Daphnia pulex: one gene and its partners. The protein of the gene in region 5 purifies or fractionates together with the protein of the main gene of each other region. This does not show direct contact. Links are inferred from orthologs where the notes say so. Each region holds a gene or a part of one and is shown on either strand. Other genes may lie near its edges. The genes, in order: mortality factor 4-like protein 1, PHD finger protein 12-like, protein kinase C-binding protein 1-like, GATA zinc finger domain-containing protein 1-like and lysine-specific demethylase lid-like.

The links.
Region 1: the proteins of lysine-specific demethylase lid-like (region 5) and mortality factor 4-like protein 1 purify together in Homo sapiens (affinity purification with mass spectrometry; 5 studies listed by BioGRID and IntAct, counting the BioPlex papers as one, with this or other methods). This does not show direct contact. The link is inferred for Daphnia pulex from reciprocal best matches to the Homo sapiens genes KDM5A and MORF4L1.
Region 2: the proteins of lysine-specific demethylase lid-like (region 5) and PHD finger protein 12-like purify together in Homo sapiens (affinity purification with mass spectrometry; 3 studies listed by BioGRID and IntAct, with this or other methods). This does not show direct contact. The link is inferred for Daphnia pulex from reciprocal best matches to the Homo sapiens genes KDM5A and PHF12.
Region 3: the proteins of lysine-specific demethylase lid-like (region 5) and protein kinase C-binding protein 1-like purify together in Homo sapiens (affinity purification with mass spectrometry; 3 studies listed by BioGRID and IntAct, with this or other methods). This does not show direct contact. The link is inferred for Daphnia pulex from reciprocal best matches to the Homo sapiens genes KDM5A and ZMYND8.
Region 4: the proteins of lysine-specific demethylase lid-like (region 5) and GATA zinc finger domain-containing protein 1-like purify together in Homo sapiens (affinity purification with mass spectrometry; 6 studies listed by BioGRID and IntAct, with this or other methods). This does not show direct contact. The link is inferred for Daphnia pulex from reciprocal best matches to the Homo sapiens genes KDM5A and GATAD1.

The regions. Positions count from the first base shown.
Region 1 is NC_060018.1:5,689,435-5,693,275, reverse strand, and holds mortality factor 4-like protein 1, read right to left. Parts: upstream 2,681-3,841; 5' UTR 2,589-2,680; coding exon 2,537-2,588; intron 2,473-2,536; coding exon 2,358-2,472; intron 2,293-2,357; coding exon 2,197-2,292; intron 2,124-2,196; coding exon 1,972-2,123; intron 1,857-1,971; coding exon 1,732-1,856; intron 1,665-1,731; coding exon 1,563-1,664; intron 1,475-1,562; coding exon 1,383-1,474; intron 1,251-1,382; coding exon 1,148-1,250; intron 1,079-1,147; coding exon 1,009-1,078; intron 948-1,008; coding exon 863-947; intron 792-862; coding exon 707-791; 3' UTR 504-706; downstream 1-503. Other genes in the region: digestive cysteine proteinase 1-like, read right to left, coding at 2,875-3,059, 3,181-3,240, 3,312-3,527, 3,627-3,672, 3,734-3,834. UniProt on the Homo sapiens protein: Component of the NuA4 histone acetyltransferase (HAT) complex which is involved in transcriptional activation of select genes principally by acetylation of nucleosomal histones H4 and H2A.
Region 2 is NC_060017.1:4,333,150-4,337,396, reverse strand, and holds the start of PHD finger protein 12-like, read left to right. Parts: upstream 1-1,439; 5' UTR 1,440-1,588; coding exon 1,589-1,636; intron 1,637-1,708; coding exon 1,709-1,902; intron 1,903-1,968; coding exon 1,969-2,038; intron 2,039-2,100; coding exon 2,101-2,449; intron 2,450-2,511; coding exon 2,512-2,626; intron 2,627-2,692; coding exon 2,693-2,822; intron 2,823-2,889; coding exon 2,890-3,060; intron 3,061-3,117; coding exon 3,118-3,225; intron 3,226-3,294; coding exon 3,295-3,491; intron 3,492-3,557; coding exon 3,558-3,685; intron 3,686-3,753; coding exon 3,754-3,960; intron 3,961-4,023; coding exon 4,024-4,140; intron 4,141-4,210; coding exon 4,211-4,247. Other genes in the region: importin subunit beta-1-like, read right to left, coding at 1-95, 170-322, 379-789, 873-931, 1,122-1,176.
Region 3 is NC_060028.1:7,382,734-7,386,982, forward strand, and holds the start of protein kinase C-binding protein 1-like, read left to right. Parts: upstream 1-1,442; 5' UTR 1,443-1,594; intron 1,595-1,662; 5' UTR 1,663-1,785; intron 1,786-1,856; 5' UTR 1,857-1,897; coding exon 1,898-2,424; intron 2,425-2,516; coding exon 2,517-2,663; intron 2,664-2,722; coding exon 2,723-2,911; intron 2,912-2,979; coding exon 2,980-3,109; intron 3,110-3,167; coding exon 3,168-3,581; intron 3,582-3,644; coding exon 3,645-3,773; intron 3,774-3,888; coding exon 3,889-4,007; intron 4,008-4,073; coding exon 4,074-4,249. Other genes in the region: myotubularin-related protein 9-like, read right to left, coding at 1-102, 164-313, 376-656, 736-904, 970-1,116. UniProt on the Homo sapiens protein: Chromatin reader that recognizes dual histone modifications such as histone H3.1 dimethylated at 'Lys-36' and histone H4 acetylated at 'Lys-16' (H3.1K36me2-H4K16ac) and histone H3 methylated at 'Lys-4' and histone H4 acetylated at 'Lys-14' (H3K4me1-H3K14ac).
Region 4 is NC_060026.1:11,475,882-11,478,991, forward strand, and holds GATA zinc finger domain-containing protein 1-like, read left to right. Parts: upstream 1-1,304; 5' UTR 1,305-1,421; coding exon 1,422-1,841; intron 1,842-1,925; coding exon 1,926-2,175; intron 2,176-2,230; coding exon 2,231-2,394; 3' UTR 2,395-2,605; downstream 2,606-3,110. Other genes in the region: F-box/LRR-repeat protein 4-like, read right to left, coding at 1-259, 318-513, 566-695, 761-924, 990-996. UniProt on the Homo sapiens protein: Component of some chromatin complex recruited to chromatin sites methylated 'Lys-4' of histone H3 (H3K4me), with a preference for trimethylated form (H3K4me3).
Region 5 is NC_060026.1:13,806,936-13,811,245, reverse strand, and holds the end of lysine-specific demethylase lid-like, read left to right. Parts: coding exon 1-59; intron 60-123; coding exon 124-421; intron 422-483; coding exon 484-747; intron 748-819; coding exon 820-980; intron 981-1,176; coding exon 1,177-1,448; intron 1,449-1,520; coding exon 1,521-1,867; intron 1,868-1,931; coding exon 1,932-2,113; intron 2,114-2,172; coding exon 2,173-2,514; intron 2,515-2,584; coding exon 2,585-2,873; intron 2,874-2,948; coding exon 2,949-3,187; intron 3,188-3,252; coding exon 3,253-3,408; intron 3,409-3,475; coding exon 3,476-3,616; intron 3,617-3,675; coding exon 3,676-3,740; intron 3,741-3,806; coding exon 3,807-3,924; 3' UTR 3,925-4,275; downstream 4,276-4,310. UniProt on the Homo sapiens protein: Histone demethylase that specifically demethylates 'Lys-4' of histone H3, thereby playing a central role in histone code. Does not demethylate histone H3 'Lys-9', H3 'Lys-27', H3 'Lys-36', H3 'Lys-79' or H4 'Lys-20'.

The DNA of each region.
Region 1 (3,841 bases), on a different chromosome or scaffold from region 5:
AGGGTATTATCACCCTCGTCTTCGCTGCATCCGCCCAGTCACCGAAAAATGAAAAAAGATAGACGCAAAGACCCAAAAATCTACACGACACACTCATCTCACGAGCGTTTTGTTTTCTCTTCTCGGTCACGAACAGCTCGGCTATCATTTCAATGTTTGGGTTTAAATGACCAGCAGATAGTAAATACTGAGCGAGGAAGACGGGGTACACATAGTTGGACCGTGACGATGTGTTGTTCCCATCTCAAAAGCCCACTTTCACTGCACACACGAGTTTTGTCTATGCCAATTTGAGAGAGGATCACTACCAAAATCTAGCCGAAAATCTCTAGACACACACTCCATTCCGAGCGGATGTCGAGCCCAATGAAGGAAATAATACACGACGATTGTTCTCGACTCCCTATCCGACAAACAGGACAATTAATTGCTTGTCTAAAAACAGACCAGCTGGGTCAAAGAGATTGGCGTCATCGGTAGAATTCGCAGAACCGTAAAAAAAACCGCGTAACAATTGAATGTATTACGTTTACACGATGGCAAGTCACTGTGTTACACATGAGGCTTAAAAAAAAAAACTTTTTTCTTTCTTTATTTTTAAAGTTTACCAGATTTCAAATCGGCTCGTTTATATGTGTGAGACATTGGAAAGAAAAAAATATTTCCGACGAAAAAAAAATGAAAAAAGATACACTGACGTGGTATTTCAGCAAGCGCGGCGGTGATATTCAGCCGATGCGTTGCCATAATCCTGAGCACTGAACAGCGTCGAAGCGTTGCGTCCCATGTATCTGTCGTGATCACAGCTGCCGATGTAAATCAACGTCTTTAAATAAAATGTTTCTTTCGTTTTCAGACTTACTTTAAAAAATCTTGGAGGTGAACGTGGAGCAGTTGGATCGACTTTTCATCAAGTGGGGTATACGCCAGCATACTTCCTAGCCGGGCTGTACGATAATGTTTATTTTAAATATGTTAAATGGTGGTTTGAAATCAATTGAAACTTACTGAACATGCGTAAAAGATGGGGGGCTCCATAAATTTGGCTCATCATTTTGTCAGGGTGATTCTTCAAAATCTATAGCCATATAAAGAATCAACGTATGAACGTATAGTATATCACTGTGAATTTCACTTCATGACTTACATCAGCATATTGTAATCTCTCAAATTTATACAGCAACGAAGAACCGAGCGTTACATTGAAATATTCTTTCAAGCCGGCCATGACCTCCTGAATGGCACTCTCTCTAAAAATGGAGGAATTAAAGGAAAGAAATAAATAAAAAAAAAGTTTCTCCACTTGGTTTAGCAAATACACACAATGTATGTATGCTATTGGTATTCATTTTGCTAGCAGTAACAGCGGAATTGCGACATACTTGCTTGGGGTGGTCGTCCGGTTGCTGCTTTTGTGCTTGATGTAATCTTCTAGAATGGTGTCAACGGGCACTTTGGATGGTAAGTTCGCCAACTGTTGCGTAATTGGATGAAATGAGTTTTTGGTGACTCAGTGAAATATTGCTGGAAAGATAATATCTTTAACGTTTCAAATCACGTACTTTTTTCTGGCGGTTAATATAGTCCCAGTCATCAACAAGCCAGGGTTTCAACTCATCTGGAATCTTTATTTTCACTTCAACCTTGGATAAAAACTGTTCTTCCTATAAGTAAATGGTTTTTTAATGCTACATTGTTGAAAAGATTTAGAAAGTGTATGTGAAATCTCACTGATTCAACAGTAGAGTCAGGTCTGGTCTTCTTTCTTGAGCTTTCAGAAGATGATGCTGTACCAGCAGTGGTGGTAGAAGGTGTTGTTGTCGTAGAGGCTGTGGCAGGTCTTTTGGTGGGTTTTTCTGTTGGAATATAAGCAATTTTTATGTTATTTTTCGTAACACTGATCTTGACTGATTTCAAGGAAAGACAAATAGTCTGACAATGGCATCATGTGTACCACTTTTGACAAGGTACCTTGAAGTGATGGTGTAGAAGATCTACTATCTGTTTCTTTGCCTGATGTATTAGCATCTGACAGGTTGCCTCCACCTTTAGATGATTCTGATCTTCGGCCTGGAGGTTTGCCAACAGGGGTAGAAACACCTTTGATTTGTTTCTTTCCTTTCCTGTTCCAAAGAAATTGAAAAACCAAATAAGATGATCAATCAGCCTTAGTCGTTGATGAAAGTCAATAGTTACGATGTAGCTTCATGAGCTTTGAGGAGTTCTTTCTGTTTTTGAAGAGCTTGGTCATTGTACTTCAGCACACGGTTTTCAGGCACCCACTCATCCCAACTGTATAAACAGCAGAGGAAAATGTTATGGAAGTTTCATCAATATAAATTTCACTTTGATTTTACTTTTTATTCCAGCCAGCATAATGTATCAAGTATTTGTTCTGTTGATCCTTGAATTCTGCTTTGAGGCTTTTGGCTTCATATAAAAGCGGACCGTGAAAACAAAGAACTCGTTCCCCTATTATTTTGTTTAATCGTTTAAATTTAGTTATCCAAAGATATATTTGACTAATAAAACAAACCTTCTTTAAATTTGAATTCTGTTGCTGGCTTCTGTTGAGCTTTGGGACCCATTTTTGTTCAAAGCAGACGCTACAACTTGCTAGTTGCTACGTCACGTGACCTAGCGTTGGTGCACGTTTCATTAAAAGAACGTCAGAACGCCAAAATGCAATTTTTAAAAAGAAAAAAAAATCGAAGCACATTTTTTTTTTTTAATAGCAGCTGACAAATATTTGATAGCCACAATCAATTTTATTCAAACTCAGACGTAGAGATCCATGTTTACTGTTTTTTCCCAAGCTTTTCTATAGATTTCTACTCATGATGGGAGCAAACACAAAATTTAATGTTTGGAATCTCACATGATCACATAAGTAGGTGAAGTCGCGACGCCACAATTATTTTCTTTTTGTGACATCAAAACATACCCAGAATTTCCCCAATAAGTCGACCACGAATTTTTTACCAACCAGTATGGCTCGCCTTTTAGAATTCCATACCCTACAGCTAAAACAGCGTGGTCCAAGCTGTCTTCTCCGCTGCCTACAGTTTAAAAAAGTAATTCAAGGATGAGTGTGATGGTGCCACAGATTTCAAAGAAAGAAAGTATTCTTTTAGAAAAGGTAATTGCATGATATTATTACGAGATTTTAAAAATTATTACCGCATTCAGGATTGTAGTAAACTCCGTTGGCGTAAAAAGAAAATGCACGATGCGCAGCATCTATTTTAATAGTTTCGATAAAGAAAATTATTACCACCTGACTTCACTACAACTCCTCCGCGTTTTATTACCGATAGCAACGGAGATTGGGCCATACTTAAAGATGGCAACACGCAACGCATCGACGTCTCCTGATGTTACATTAACATAGCCTTTAATGGAGGCTACGAGAGTCGCATTGTCTACATGGCAATAACCATCAGCACCCAAGTAAGGTCCATAACTCTCCTCTGAAGGAATACCTCCGTGCTTCATCATCCACTGGTATACTCGGAAATCTTCACCACCTTTAATTGACGAACAATTATGCGAAGAAATGGTAAAATTTAAAACAAAGAACAACTTTAGAAGAAAAAGTGAAAATATATTCAAATGAAATAACATACCGTCGCAACCGTTATTGCCAAAACCCCAACTGCAATCAACAAGAGCCTAAAACAAACATATTCCCATCATTAATTTCATTGAAACAAAATATTTGATGTTAATTTACCTGTTGTGAGAGTGGAGTCAGTTTACCCGTTTTGAGGAAGAGGGCTCCTTCAAGAGTTCCTACAGTTCCAAAACTCCAACACGAACCACACACACTTTGGTCTATAAT
Region 2 (4,247 bases), on a different chromosome or scaffold from region 5:
ATCTTTACCAATACTTGTAGCCAAATCAGAGATTCTTCAACGCTAGACGATTGTGTGCCGTCGCAGACAACTTGCATGATCGCATCTCGACCTTCCTATTTATAAATAATTCAATATTTTGTATCAAAAATTTTCAAAAACAAAATACAAAAGCAATTGAGCCCAATACCTCAGTGTCAAATGTCGGGTAAATGCATTCCAGAGAACTCAGTAGAGCTCGAGCAGCTGCCAGACGAATTCTTGTAGTTGATTTGCTGTCCTCCATACAAAATAGTATGGAATGGAGGATTGACGTGTAAGAGTTGACCAAAATGAGCACGTGCTAAGACAAATAACATTAAGAGCATTCAAAAATGTGTTATTAACCAGTTAACTCACAATTTCTTGACAAATGAAGGCGATGGCCTCTAAGGCTGCCTCTTTTCGATGTTCATTTGCTGGTTGAACGACCACGTCGCAAAGCTCAGAAAGCAAATCCTCCAGAGAAGTTATCTCAGAAGAAGGCTGTAGTGTTCCCGGGAAGAGACTTTCAGCTACCGCAATGTAAGCCAAACATTGGGCGGCACAACTTGGATGAATGTTTTCTGTTCCCAAGGTCGAAATCAAACGCTCAACCACGGCCATGCGAGTTTCTTCTTCAAGTTTTGACCATCTCTGTAGACACTCTTTCTTCAGGGTCACATCTTTAACAGTCAAACAGTTTTTCAGTTGGAGACCAGCAGCTTGACGAGCAATAGGTGAGTTGTTTGGATCAGCAATTACAACTGACATATTTGAAATAAATTGACCCTATAAGTATGAAAATACAAAGAACAGTAACAGATAATTATGTGGTGTACTAATAAACTGAGATTTGTTTTATTGAAACTAACCATATCATCCTGAGCATACTTTTCCAACGCCAATTGGGTTTCGGCCAATACATTCTTGTCTGAAAATGATACATCTTTATTAATTTAAGATTTAAAATGAAAGTGATATTATAGCTGCAATATGATATGTAGGAGTGTCGTAACATGTTGAGTCAAGAAACTTTGCAAAAAAGCCCCGCAGACAAGTAATATGCAATGTAAGATTGTGATATCAACAATGAAAAGATATTAAGTTGCATTGTTTATTACCTGGTGAAATAGTTTGTTCTAAATACTGGATGAGACACTTCAATGAATTCGCCATTTCTTTACAATTAGAGCCTTGTGGCTGCCGGTGACTGTATAACTGTACGGCACGAGTAGCTTTGAGATGTCAAATCTAAAAATCGACACATAACTCATGACTAAAATCTGAATTCTGAAATGACACAGAATAGGCCTAACGACTGTCAATTATTTTTTAAGTCGTCGCCTTCGGCTGATCATTTGCCCGCAAATTTCGATTTTTAAACGGAACGCCGGTTCGCATGTTGAGCTTCTGTTGGCTGCCGCTAGGTTCTTGGAACTCAGATTGAAAGATGTTGTTTAGCATCGAGTCAAATCGACACTTAAAGTTTTGTTGTTTCTTGATTCTTGCTGTCGTTTTCATCTTTAGAAGATGCTCGCATAGAAACATTAGGATTTAGTGAGATTATAATTACATTTTCTTGTACGCAATGGCCAATTCTCAATATGATCTCGATCTATCGGGTGGATTAATGCCAGTAAGTTCACTCTTTAATCGGCTGTATGCTCATTTATGGATGTCGACTAAGATCGGTGTTTTGTTTATGCAGCAAATTCAAGCTCTACTAGCACCACCTTTGTTGGAAGATATTTCAAAAGAAAAGAGAAAAGACGGATTGGCGTTGCATCCCTACTACAGACGACCAGGACGAGGTCATAATCGCGATAGTTGTGATGCTTGTAAAGAGGGAGGTGAACTCATTTGCTGTGACTCTTGCCCAGCATCTTTTCACCTACAATGCCAGTAAAATAATACCATCAATTCAAATTTATTTCTAATATTTACATTATTCTGTTTTCACTGTTTCAGTGATCCTCCATTAGAGGAGTCGGATTTACCCAAAGGTTTGTGGAACTGTCACAGTTGTCGTATGAAAAAGGTAATTTTAAACTTGTGTAGAGTTAAAAGAAAACAATTGACCAACAAAACATTTGTTTTCAGGCCCAAGATGCTGCAAATCCTCTTACAAATTTCATAGAGGTGGATGACGGAGCAGACTCTGATTCCAGTAAAACTGGAAAAAGACCTTATAACTCAGCAACTCAATCAGTAGGCAGTGGTCAGGGAGCCCCTGAAAGAATATCTGGTCGCCGTCGAACAAACAACTCGGATGATGTTGATGTAGAAACCACTGGAGTTAGTTCAGAAAAGTCCAGTGATAGAGAAGACGTCATTGTTGATAATATGGGCAAAGTCTCATTTTTTGCCCCTCTCATCAGAGTAGCAGCATCTATGAACCCACAGCAATTCGAACTCCCACCAGAACTTGTAGAACCTATTCCTTTTCCAGGTAAGCTAAAACCAATATTAGATAAAATTGATTAACAAGTTAATTAACTTGCCATTTTCTAGGTACCAGTAAATTGTGTATTTCGAAAAAAACCGGATCTGGCCCCAAAAAAAAATCACACGAACTTGATAACGGGCTCGTGCCATTACCGTTACGAGCGTGCTTCTACTGCAGCAAGTATGATTGAATCAGGTTTCTGTTTCAATATAGTTACATCATCAAATTCATCTTTCGAATTCTTAGGAGTTGCCGCAAGGCGCCAATGGTTGCCTGTGACTTTTGCCCCCTGGTTTTCCATCTGGATTGTCTGGATCCTCCCCTTGTTTGCATGCCAGTTGGCAAGTGGATGTGCCCCAATCACCCTCAAAATATTGTAATATTTTGCCTTTTAAAGGAATTTTCCGTTTATCTCACAGAAATGTTGAATTCTTTATCACTAGGAATATAAATTGTTGCCTGATTCACGACTTTCCGAACGAGTGAAGTTTTGGTCGTTCTTACAGAGACCCATTGACCATGAAACTGTAAAAATCAATTTCCTCCGCAAAGTAAACCGAAAAAATCCGCCTTTTCGTCGGAAGGTCGCACTACCTGGTCGTCCTCGTATGAGGGTAAGTGTTAGAGATGCTACTCTTATCTTCGAAAATAACTAACGAAGCATTTTGCAGGTCCCACAAATCATCAAGGACCAGTACAAACATCCACCGTTACTTCCGGCGCGTTTAAATGGAGCTCAACCATTTTACTGGTCGTCCGTTCTCCCAGAAACACGGAAGGTATGTCCATTTTCCTTTCAAAATCTGGACTTCCCCTTTTAATTTGTTAACCATTTCGTCGAATTCCAGAATTTGAAATCATTCGATAAAAATGAATTAATAGACGAGGAAAACAAAGATAGAGAACAATCACGACTTCAGGAGGATGCTCAGCAAATAGCAGCAGACTGCGAAGCAATGTTTTCAAACGAAGGCGAGACTGTCGGAAAATTTGATACTGCGTTACCTGAACGGAGAGATAAAGAGTCTGTGGAAGGATCGAGCTCGTGAGTGGTTCACAAATTAAAAACGCATCAGATTATTCAATATTCAGAAATGTCTTTTATGTTCAGCTCTTCTTGGGATGGTTTGTTTGCTGAAGAGTTTCAAGATATCGAAGCAGATGTCAAAAGTTATTTGGGAACCCTGAGGCGGGGCATGAAAGAGAGTCACTTGAAAGTCTTTATGGAGCAGCTATCGAGTAATTTTCAATACTTTTTCCTCCGCAATAGAACGGGATTATGACTTTTTTAACTTTTTATTTTCTAGATGATTTGCTAAGGGCAATGGATCAAGAAACAGTGAGAGCTCTTGCCATGCAAAGAGTGCAGCAGCTAATCCTGAACCCAGAATCTCGCTCGTTGACTGTGTTCCCTCTTCCTGGAATGATGTCTTCTGGTTGCAGCACTCAGTCTACAGTCATTCCACAACCTTGGCTTCAGGCCAGCAGTGCTTCCGACAGTGGTAACATTATCTGTACGAATTACAGTCTCGAATGGATCAACAACTTTCTATCTTCCCCTCTTATCGATTCAATAGACAGTAGTCAAGCCCAGACGAATGTCTTCCCACGACAGCCTAGAGCATTCCTCTGCCCTCTTAGCTCAGCTTATCCACCAGCACCCATCTACTATCGCCGACTTACTATTGGCACTGGTATTATTTGCCCTTCCATAACTATAGTTGAATTATCGGTTTTATTCTTTAAAACATTTCTGTGCGTTAGGTGCTGACATGGATTTGAACTTGTCTACGTTCGGTGC
Region 3 (4,249 bases), on a different chromosome or scaffold from region 5:
GGATAGCGATTCAAGTAAAGACTGCAGTCTTTCAATGGGTTTATGAATGCGACGCCATTGAGGGTAGTGAGATTCGGTCTCAAAACCACCTGAACCTTTAGACTTTGGAACGAAATTTTAGATATTTAGACAAGATTTTTAGATTGAAAGAATGATATTATACTTTGGGGGTCGGTGTTGTGCTCTGGTGGCGGGTATCAATAATGTAACCCCGCATCCCTGGTTTCAACACACTGTTAAGAAGTTTTTCATCCTCACGACAACGCTTAACATTTGGTCCCGAATGAGGCTGACTACTTCTCATCATCACAGCCTGAATAAAAAGAAAAAGAAATAAAAATATTGCAGCATATTTATGATTAAATGGCAACTTACTCCTCCTTCATGCCTGTATGAGAGAACTGGAAATCTCCCTCCAACTCGAAACGATGCAGCAGCTATTAAGACGTCATCATCGACCGACTTGGGAACTACAACAGCAGATGGATAAGACGAGCAGATTGAATAATCCTTATTGACATAAGAAATCCTCCAGTCTTCCTGTTGTTGCATGACTAGTTTGGAAAATTCAGTTTCTGGCCTAAATGCTGTCCAACCATCTTCTATTGCAGTGTAAACTGGCTGATAGAAGAAAGGATAATAAAGAGACTGATTCTCTGTGGTAAAAAAATTATGATCTATTAGCAGGTGGTTTTAGAAGATGTAGGCTTATAAGCACCGATCTGTAATAAATACCTATGGATGATAAGCACTCCAATGAAGCTGAAACATTCATCAGTTCTTCTGTATTATTGAAATCAAAACTGATAACAGAAAAATCTTTGCACTTGAGTGTAAGAGTGCCTCCTGCAGCTGGAGGTGTGTTGGGTTTTCTTTCCACTAAATCTATGATTCTATGAATCAGCTGTAAAAATGAAAAAAAAAACAATGTGAAGGTAATTTACAAAAAACTTAATAAAATTGGTATACCCAAAATTCATCAGGATTTTCTCCTCCAGCAGAGAAAATGAGGTGGTGCCCAGTTATACATAGCACCCCTTCAACAGATTTGTGAAGTGGGCGGTGGACCAAAACCTTTTCTACCCTTGGTGACTTGATGAGATGTGCAAACTCCATTTTCACAGCTCAGCCTTCAGAAAGAGACAATCCATAAATCGGTTTAATGAAACCTAATAATTTTCCACAAACCTTGTATTGTAAGGATTTCTTCACCTGTCACAATCTCCAGCTGGACGATTTCAGAAACGAGTTGCGCGCGCAATTGATCGATAAAGACTAAATGAGGTTAAAAATACAGCATTCGCTTAAAATTTACAGTATTTTGGAAATTATTTTCATCCTGACAGTGAATTATCGTTTCACTTCATACCAAGTGAGCGTAAAAACGTAAACATTGGTGTCGTGAAAAGCAGAAAAAAAAAATATTTTTCATATCCCCAATTGACAACGTTGTTTGCTATATACACCGCCGGTGTGTCTTGTGTGTGTGACTGTGTGTGTGTGTGTGTGTGTAAAATAATTCTGGCGAAACCCTGAGCTGAAATATATCGCATGCTTCTGAAGTGGTTCAAGATTCGTGACACCTTTTTATAGAGTGGGTTTGTTTTCACGACACCATTATTGATGATGCTTTTTAATTTGTAACATTCTTCTTGTTTGTAGCATCATCACTGGACCGAAATATAGATAGCCTGTGGGCGGAGCTTGTTTGATTGAAAAATCCTCTCCGGATTCCGCCTGCTCTAGCGGTGTTTCTACGAAGCACAGGAAGGTCAGTCCTCAGTGGTATGCTTGCTAAATTCTACGTTCATTTTCCGTTTCGCAATAACATATTTATTTGGAATCACTAATTGCAGATATCAAGGGGACAAGGGAAAAACTGTGCTGCCTGCCCGGAATGGATAACGCTGCGACTGCTGATGTCATCAATGAACCTTCCAGTGATAGAGTCATGGAGGATGTTGGTTTAATGTCCAGAAAACTGAACAGTGAAAACAGTGAGCCTGCAGATAATGTGGCCACTGCATGTGAAAACTTCGACACTCTTTCACCTAGGGATGGCACTCCCCAACTAAATGGTGATGAACAGAGCCAGATTGATGATGATGAAGTACAAAGTCTTTTTATAGCTGAAGATTCTGAGGAGGATGAAGATGAAGACGTAGATGAAGATGTGGATGAAGAGGATGAAGAAATGCCAGAACTTTTAGACTCAGATGGTGCTGGGATTCAAACAGCTACAAAGGATGATGGTACTACTGGAGAAACATCAGATGAGGAAGCACCTCCAGGACTCATTCTTAGCCATGGTTCAATAATGAAGCAGGAAGGCAAGAATGTGGACAGTCTCTCAGGTGTAGTTGAAAATGAACAGTTAGAAGATGATTTACAGAGTCTTACTGACAAAGGAGACCAAAACCAAAAGTAAATACAAAAATTAAGTCTATACATTATTCCTTCTCAAGGGTTCCACATGGCAACAATTTCAAAAAATTCTTTTTAAATTTTGCATCTAGCATTAAACTGCAAGGAACTCCATCAGCAGCTCTAAGAAGATCCAGCAGGACTAAATTACCCATCAGCCCATCTCCAAACGACGTGTCACTTTCCGCAGGACGTACCACGCGATCACAGATCAATCCTGACATAATCGCAAAGCAAAAGTAAGGAAATCTGAACTTGTTTTTTAAAGCCATATATTGGAGATCCATTTCTCTTACAGGTCTTTCATGCATAAATACCAAATTGCTGTCAAAAGCTCTATGGACTCGTATGTTCGAAGTGCAACTAGCGAAGTTGAACAGGTTAAAGTGGAAACACAAGCCACAAAGCGCAAATGGGAGGATACAGGAGGGACAGATGCCGTGCATTCTCCTCATAGTTCTCCAATTCAAGAGAAAAGAAACAAAAAGTAACTAAAAAATGAAGCTGGCGTTACGAAGCATTTGTAACTAACTGTAGCACTTTTGCAAACTTTAGATCAATAACAAGCACTCCATCAACAGCAAGTACCCCATCGACCAAAGTTGGTAGCCATTTCATGGAATTGCAAAGCAAGACATTTACGCGCCATGACACTTTTTGCTGGGTGTGTCATATGGATGGCCAGGTAATGAGAAAAAAGTCCCAACGTTTCTGTGATGGATTAAAATGAAGTTTCTGATTAGGTATTGGAATGCAGACAGTGCCCGCGTGTGTTTCATCAACGATGCGTTCAACTTCAGTCCCCAATTCCGACTGATTGGACATGTACGGAATGTTGCTCTGTTCGCAATGCCGAAAAACATAACCATCTCGAGATGGACCAGTTAACTGAAATGCTCAACTTCGCTATGGAGCGAATCAAGTCGGTGGCTGACGCGCAACCTTTCTTTAAACCTGTTGACACGGAAGAATTCCCGCACTACACCGAGTATATTGTTAGTCCGGTGGATATCAGCCAGCTGGAGGAGAAGATTGTTCAAAGATCTTACACTTCCACTAGAGCTTTCCTGGCTGATTTCCGCTGGATCTTGCACAATTGCATAATCTTTAATTCGTCTCACTCAAAATTGACTAGCACGGCAAGAACGTTGATGAAGGTATTTTAAGGTTTAATATGATTTATTTCAAAATCTTAACCAAATCAAATTTCCCAATTGCAGGTGTGTAAACATGAAATGGCTGAGATTGATACTTGTGCCGATTGCTATGTGCATGCTCACACCAAACGAGAAACCTGGTTCCTGGAACCGTGTCAAAGGCCTCATTTACTGCTCTGGGCCAAACTCAAAGTAAATTTCATCTCAAGTCATTCTCACAAATCTAGTTTTAAGTGTTTTAAGTGGCTTGATAGGCACGTCCAATGAGCAAAACAAAAATTATTTAATGATTTGTTGTTTTCCCCAGGGGTTTCCTCATTGGCCGGCTAAAGCGATGAAAGCAAATAAAGAAGGCAATGTGGACGTGCGCTTTTTCGGTGCACACGATCGAGCTTGGGTGCCCGCCAAAGATTGTTTTTTGTACAGGTAAAACAAGAACAAGGTTTATCTTTTTGCAAAAAAAAATTAATGTCAATGTTTGTTTGTTTGCAGCCGCGAAATGCCTATGCAGTTAAAAAATCAGCGCAAAGCAAATTTGATTGCTTCAGTTGAAGAAGTTGACCAACACATCAAAAAGCTTGTTGAGCGCTACGGTTCTTTCGCTTACCCCTCGCCACGTACGGCTTACAACCCAAATAAGGAGGACGAGCAATTACAACAACTTATTC
Region 4 (3,110 bases), about 2.3 Mb from region 5:
TAATTTACTGAGATGGCAAATAGTTGAGGATTGCGCTGGGACTTGGTACTTAAAACAGAGCCGTTGTATACTTTCGATTGCATTGAAGCCTGGCACTAAACGATGGAGCCCCAATCCAATAATTTTCGTAGATAATCCTGTGACACAAAGTTTAAGCGATTCTTCAAACGGAGGATAGGTTTCTGTTCCAACCAGAAGAACAGCATCGATCTCTGGATAATAATCGGCCAAACTGCTGTCTATTTCAACTCTAATAATGCTAAAGAAATATAAAATAGGAATTTTGCTGAAAAAAGAAGCTAAACACTCAGTTCTACCTAGTCAGAAACTGTAGATGATGAGGTTCAGCAGAAAATATCTGTGAATGCTTCAGAGACTTTTTCATATGATTTTCATGAAACAATTTCCAATTTCCTTGGCCATCACCAGCCCACAGTCGTCTCACACAACCAGAGTTATATGTTTCATATACATTTACACAGTATGGATAGACAGGTTTTTGAAACAGGATATCTACATTTAAAGTATGTCAAAAAAGTCCCTAATTGTAAAATGAATGAATTACCAACAAAATCCTGTCCTGTTATGAGAACTTCAGTTTTTCCTTTAGAAGGTGAAATTACTAATGTTTCTTTCCACCATGGCCCATATGTTCTCTGAAGAACAAATGTTTTTTTTTTTAAATAGACCTTCCTCTACATAGTCTTCAGAATATGCTTTTTATTTCACACTTGCACTAATAATTTTAATAAAAAAGTACCGGGACGTAGGTTTCAGGAAAATCTCCATATGCCGGATATCGAGAAGGAGGACCGATTAAATTGTTGGCTGTGTAAGACACTCCATTTATACTTCCATACTGTGAAGTGTAGTATGTCACCTTGCTGGCATACTGCTCTATGAAAATGAGGCCTTCACTATTTCCTAATAAAATCATATAAAATTGATTTAAATGTAGGAAAAAAAATGTTAACACATTTCATTCTCACCCAACATGAATCGTTCAAAATGTCTATCACAGATCAAATTTGGGGGATTTACAAAATATGATTCGGGGAGTCCAAAATACAAATATCTAGCAGAAGAATGGTTTTGTTTACAAACGGAAAATTCATTTTGAGCGCCAGCTAGCGTCTAGTTCTCTAGTAGTGATTTACCATCCAATCGATGGTAAATTTAAATTTTACTAAGACTTTGATTCATCACACCCAATTTTTATTTAAAAATTTAATTTTGCATTCAATGTTTAAACTATTTTTATATAAAATTACACAAGTTAGAAATTGCAATGTTGTAGATTGTTGTCCACAACTTAAGTAAAAGTCTTCTGCTTTGTAAATAAAAAGTGAAACAATTTTTGGGAGACTCGTTTTCGGTGCTAGTGCTATTTCAAGTAATAGATTTTGTTATTAACCTTAACCATGCCATTTGGAATAAAACCTGTTTGTTTTAAATGCGATATCAATATATCAGAGATATGGCAAAAAAACAACGAAGGAAATACAGTTTGCAGCGAATGCTTTCAAGGGAAATTGACAACAACCGTGAAAACAGAATCTATTGTTATAGAAAAGGCGCCTTCACCAGAAATAAAATTTCAAGAAGAAGATGCTTATAATGAAACTATTGAAGTGGATGATGTTGTTGTGGATGAACTTGTGGATGATATAAAGCCACGTAATGAATTTGGCCCAGGGACCAGGTCAGGAAACACAACTTCAAACAGTAGAGGTGGACGCACAGGAACAAAAAAGACACGTGGAAGAAGCAAGAAACTAGGAACTGCCAATAAAGCAACAGTTGGCAAAGGACGTGGAAGAAGAGCTGTTTTCAAGAAACAGGTTAAACAAATCCATAAATTTGATAGAAAAATTAAATAGATTTTTCCAATAACTTTTTATAAATTATTCCTTTTTAAATTTTAGCTACCATCTAAAGCCCCCACTGTTGCTTCTACCTCTTTTACTAGTGGGCATTTGTTTCATCATGACATTTATTATCAAGTGGGGGACATAGTTTCAGTCACAGATGAAGATGATGGAGTTTATTATGCACAAATTCGTGGGCTTCTGCAAGACCAATTTTGTGAAAAAAGTGCTGTATTAACTTGGCTCATCCCAACTCAAAGTTCACCACCCCCAGATGTGGGATTTGATCCACAGACATATATTTTAGGTATGTGAATTTTATATTTTTTTTTCTGTACAGCATTAAAACAGTCTTGGTTTAGGTCCTGAAGAAGAATTGCCACGTAAGCTGGATTATCTTGATTTCGTAATGCATGCGCCGAACGAATATTACAAACTGGATGAAAATGTTCGAGTGTCTAGTGAAAAAGAAGCTGGCTATATTTGGACAAGTATGGGTGCCGTACGAAGAACTATTCATTCATGAAAAATTCCACCAGGATCATCCGTTTATAGTAGAATAGAAAGACCAAGGCAGCCGGCTCTTTTGTTCTTTGTGTCTTTTAATGCCATTACAGATTCGTTTGTAAAACAATTCCATCATTTCTGAAGTTTGTAACTAAAAATATTTGTCACATGTTCTGCTACCTCACTGAAATTCGGAGGAAGAGTAAATTAAATTGTTTGATCTGTTTTAAGTGTTCTTTTCTAAATTTTTAAGAGTTTTCACAATTTTAGTAAGATATTTTCGAAAATTACATGTCGGAAATTATAGAAGATTTTTTTACCTGCTTGCACGGCTTTCTTAAAAATAATACTTGACCATTCCTGCATTACGGCTTGCCTTGCGGGTAACAATGTTTTTAGAAATTATTTTGTGCTGAAATTTTGAGCTGAAATATTTTCTAGTCTACCGGTAAAAATGTTTCGATTATAGTGGTAATAAACAGTTCATTTAAAATATAATGATATTTAAAAATAATATCGATAATGTTAATGAGTTTTTCAAACTTGTATAAGTTGTATGGGTTTTTATTCATTCATAATACTAGCGTCATTCGAACTAATAGACAATTATAACTTGAAATCACCAGCGGGAATTTGTTATTTTAATTTGAGTTTTAATTCAAAACCTTAAAAAAGTTTAAAAGAACTATAACAAATTCGAAATCGTATAGTAGGTTCGTCAAATACATCCATTTT
Region 5 (4,310 bases):
TGAAAATGGTTGAAAGTGAAAAGGGGTTGCGAAAAAATCTCCTGGCTTGGGGAGTTAAGGTCTGACAAATTAATGGTTAGCAATCTATTGATGAAGGTAAAGATGGATCTTTTTTTTTTACAGGATTCGGAAAGAGAAGCATTCGAACTATTGCCAGATGACGAGCGCCAATGCGATCATTGTAAAACAACCTGTTTCCTATCGGCGTTGACATGTAGCTGCGTCGAAGACAAACTTGTCTGTCTGAGGCACATTAAACTTTTGTGCGAGTGCCCGCCCCAGAAGCACACGCTTCGCTACCGTTACACGATGGACGAGTTGCAAGGTCTTCTCCTGAAAATCCAAGGAAAAGTAGACAGTTTTAATAGCTGGGCTGCGAAATTACGTGAAGCTTTAAAAGGACAAGAAGACGATAGAGTTGGTAAGTTAAACTTGCTAGCATTTGGTTTGTAACGCGTCTTCAAATAATTTTAAACTTTTCAGAACTAGCGGTTTTAAAAGCTCTGCTGTCGGATGCGGATGAACAGAAATTCCCCGGCACCGAATTAGTATTGTCACTTCGGGAAGCAGTGGAAAGTGCAGAAAAATGCACTATGGTGGCCCAACAGCTTATGAGTAGCAAAGTGCGTACGCGTACTCGACTCCAGGGAGAGGCAAAATGTCGTCTAACTCTAGAGGAGTTACAGTTGTTTGTTCAACAACTTAAAAAACTTCCTTGCAAGCTACCCGAATCCGAAGCCATTTGTGGTATAAGCACAAACTGTTTATCTAATTTCCATCCTGAAACTTTGCTCAAATTTTTCCCTCTGTTTTATGCAGAACTTTTCAAAAATGTTTCCGAGTTTCAAAAAGAAGTTAGGCTTCTTCTTGAACCCATCGATGAAAACCAATCTATTCCAGACCTCGAAGTTTTGCAAAAGAGTCTCGAACGTGGAGCTACTTTTGGAATCGATCTACCTGAAATTGGCCGCTTGAAACTGGTAAGTTTGATCGTCCTACTAGCATTAACTTTCATATTCTCTATAAGAACTGTTTACAATTTTGCTTCTTTGCTTTTTATTTATCTATCATTCTGATTGGAATATTGAACGGTAAGGGTTACGATTTTCAAAATGCAGTCTTGTTTTATCGATTTATTTATGAGTTACTTAATTGATCATTTGGGAATGTTTACAGCGAATTCAGCAGGCTGAATGGATCGAAAAGTACCGTGATTTACTCGGGACAAATCCAATTTGGGATCCCGAAGTCATTCCTTCCGCTGATCGCGATGCTACTGAAGAAGACGAAGCAGAAGAGGTTTCTCTAGACTCTTTGCGTGAGCTGCTCGAACTTGGCGTCGGTCTACCTCCTCATCCGGTGTTGGAAAAATCTCTAGCAAAGCTACAAGGATTGCTCGAAATGTCAGAAAAGATCGAAGATAAGGCGAACATTTTTTTGCAGGCAAAGTATGAATTAGGAAAATTTTAATTAATTCCTTTTCGAATTCTTATGTTATTGATTTTTGTGTCTAAATCTAGGCCTAGGCTACCACTTTCTTCTGCTGATATGATCATCAAAGAAGTGGCTTTATTGCCAACTTACCTGCCTTCGGTCGCTGCCTTAAAGGAAGCTGCTAAGAAAGCTCGTGACTGGAACAGCCGTCTAGAGGTTTTACAGAAGTTGGAGTACAGCCCTTATCTTGAGGCGCTTGAAAGCTTGATGTCCAAAGCCAAACCGATTGCGATAAGACTGGATTCGCTCGACGAACTCGAAAATCAGATCGCCGCCGCTCACGCTTGGCGCGAAAGAACTGCTAAAACATTTTTACGAAAGAACTCATATTATTCCCTGATCGAAGTCCTTTCCCCGAAACTCGACGTATTAGGTATGGATTTTTTCAGAATCATTGAATACTTTTTCTGTTTTACTAAGGCAATTTTCAAAATTAGTTGCTTCACGTTTCCGACGCCGTCGACCCAAAGAAGATCCCTTCAACCCAATCAACGTTACTCACGTAATCACCCTCGAGGCAGAGAAGAAGGAAGATCCTCGACTGATCGTTGAAGCTTTCAAAGAGAGTGAAAACAACGAATTAACTAGCTTCAAGCGTATCCGAGTTCAAAACATTCAAGTAAATATCCTAATTCACTTTGACATTATCGTAAACTAATTTTATGTTTTGCCTTTTAGAAAAAAGTACATGATGATCAGGGCCTTGCTCATTACTGTATTTGCCAAGGCAAAGCCCAGGGAGGCATGATCGAATGCGCACTCTGCAAAGAATGGTTCCATCTTTCGTGTTTAAGGGGAGCGAAGCAACAAGGTCCAGGGGCCAAAAACAAGACAAATGGTGAAGGCAATGCGATTAGCGGAATCAAAGATGGCCGTTACCTCTGTGGCTATTGTTGTCGTTCGAGACGGCCTCGTCTAGAAACGATCCTCTCGTTGCTGGTGTCTTTACAAAAACTTCCTGTTCGATTACCCGAGGGTGAAGCTCTTCAGTGTCTCACCGAGAGGGCCATGAACTGGCAGGTGTGTTATTACATTGTTATAATCATCACTTCAAAAATGTAACCCGAATTTGTATTCTTGTTTTACTCAGGATCGAGCTCGTCAGCTGCTATCTACTGAAGAGTTAACAGCATGTCTGTCTCAATTATCTACCATGTTGCAACGTGCTACTGACGCTACTTCTCGGAAGAAAATGGATGGTAAGACTGGATCAAATGAGCTTCAAAAATTGTCGGTGAGCGGAGAGCACCGCGATTTCTTCAGTGGCAGCGAAGAGTCACAGGACAGCGAATGTACGGCTAGAGACAGTATTCCAGAAGTTGTCGAACAACCTCCAGCGCTTAGCAACTCAGAGCATGCGTATTCTTCTTTTTCCAGAGGTAAAAACACGTCGAACAATCGACAAGATAATTTTACGTTTTTAACTAAATTTTGTTGTAATTTGGAAAAATCAGATGGCTCAGGTTGTATGACTTCTAACAAGAAGAATGTACGCAAATCTCCGTTAGTTCCTCGACAGCTAAACTCTTCCGTGTGGACTTCGCCATCAAACAATTCATCATCATGTTCACAGAATGTTCCTCTCATAACTCTGTCCTCTCAAACTGCTGCGAAACTCGAAGATCTCATCCTCGAGGGTGATTCACTCGAAGTGTCGCTCGACGAAACGATCCATATAGGAAGGATTCTTCAGGTATTAGAATTCTTCCCAAAGTAATTCAACAGTTGTGTGACATAATTTGTTTTCATTCTTCACAGGCTATCAAGGCTCCCTCAGAACCTCCTGTGATGGCTCTTCTGTACTCCAAAGATGAAGAACAGGATTGTGAATCCAATGGAGATTCCTTCAGCAAAAAGAAAATGCAAGGCAAGAAGAGAAAGTTGGATCCGCCAGGGGATAAACAGACGCCAAGAGTAAGTCGTCGGATGTTGACAAATTCGTTTGTGAGTGTTATTTTAATATTTTCTCTTTTGTTTTAAGGGTCCCAAAGGCAACAAGAACTCGAAAACGATGAAAGGAAATAAGAAACCAAGAATGATGAAGAAATCGGATGGGAAGAAAAGGCAATCAAACAATGAAAGTGAAAACGACGAAGATTGTGCGGCCGATCAATGCCTGAAGGTATTTCTGAAAATTGTGCGCTTTCGTTCAGTAGAATTAATGTTTTGTTTTTAACATAGCCTGCAGGTAAGGAAGTCATTTGGGTGCAATGTGATGGAGGCTGTGAAATGTGGTTCCATTTGAGGTATTACTATTTTTATTTGGTTCTTATTGGTGGCTAAGGATCTACAAGTGTTGTTTTATTTTCCAGATGTGTCGGATTACAAGCAAGAGACGTCAAGGCCAATGAAGATTATATTTGTCGACGATGTGCTGTTAAAAACCCTCCTGCAGGCGATGATGACATTGACAAGGATGAGCAAAATTAGGACAAAACTAACCGCCGCATTATCTTTTCACTCCTTGTCACATTCTTCACTCTGACGTGGTATGATTTATACATAACCCCAGAACGCATACAAAATCTCCAACTGACCAATGTTGTATAAATGTCCATCGAGAAAAAGTATCATTCAAATCTTTTCACTATTATATTTTGGCCGAGGCTTGCTTTAAAAATTAATTAATCACGATTCCGCCGGGATTCCGATTTCGTCCGCAAATAAGTATTTCGTTTTATTTTGTCTGTATCCTTATCTGATCAATGTCAGCGTAGCGACAATTTAAGTATATTGTGTTTAGTCGAGAAATTCAGTAAATATACTACCGTCATTAAGAAATTTCTCATTTTTTCAGTTGCTCATTTCGTTTTTAA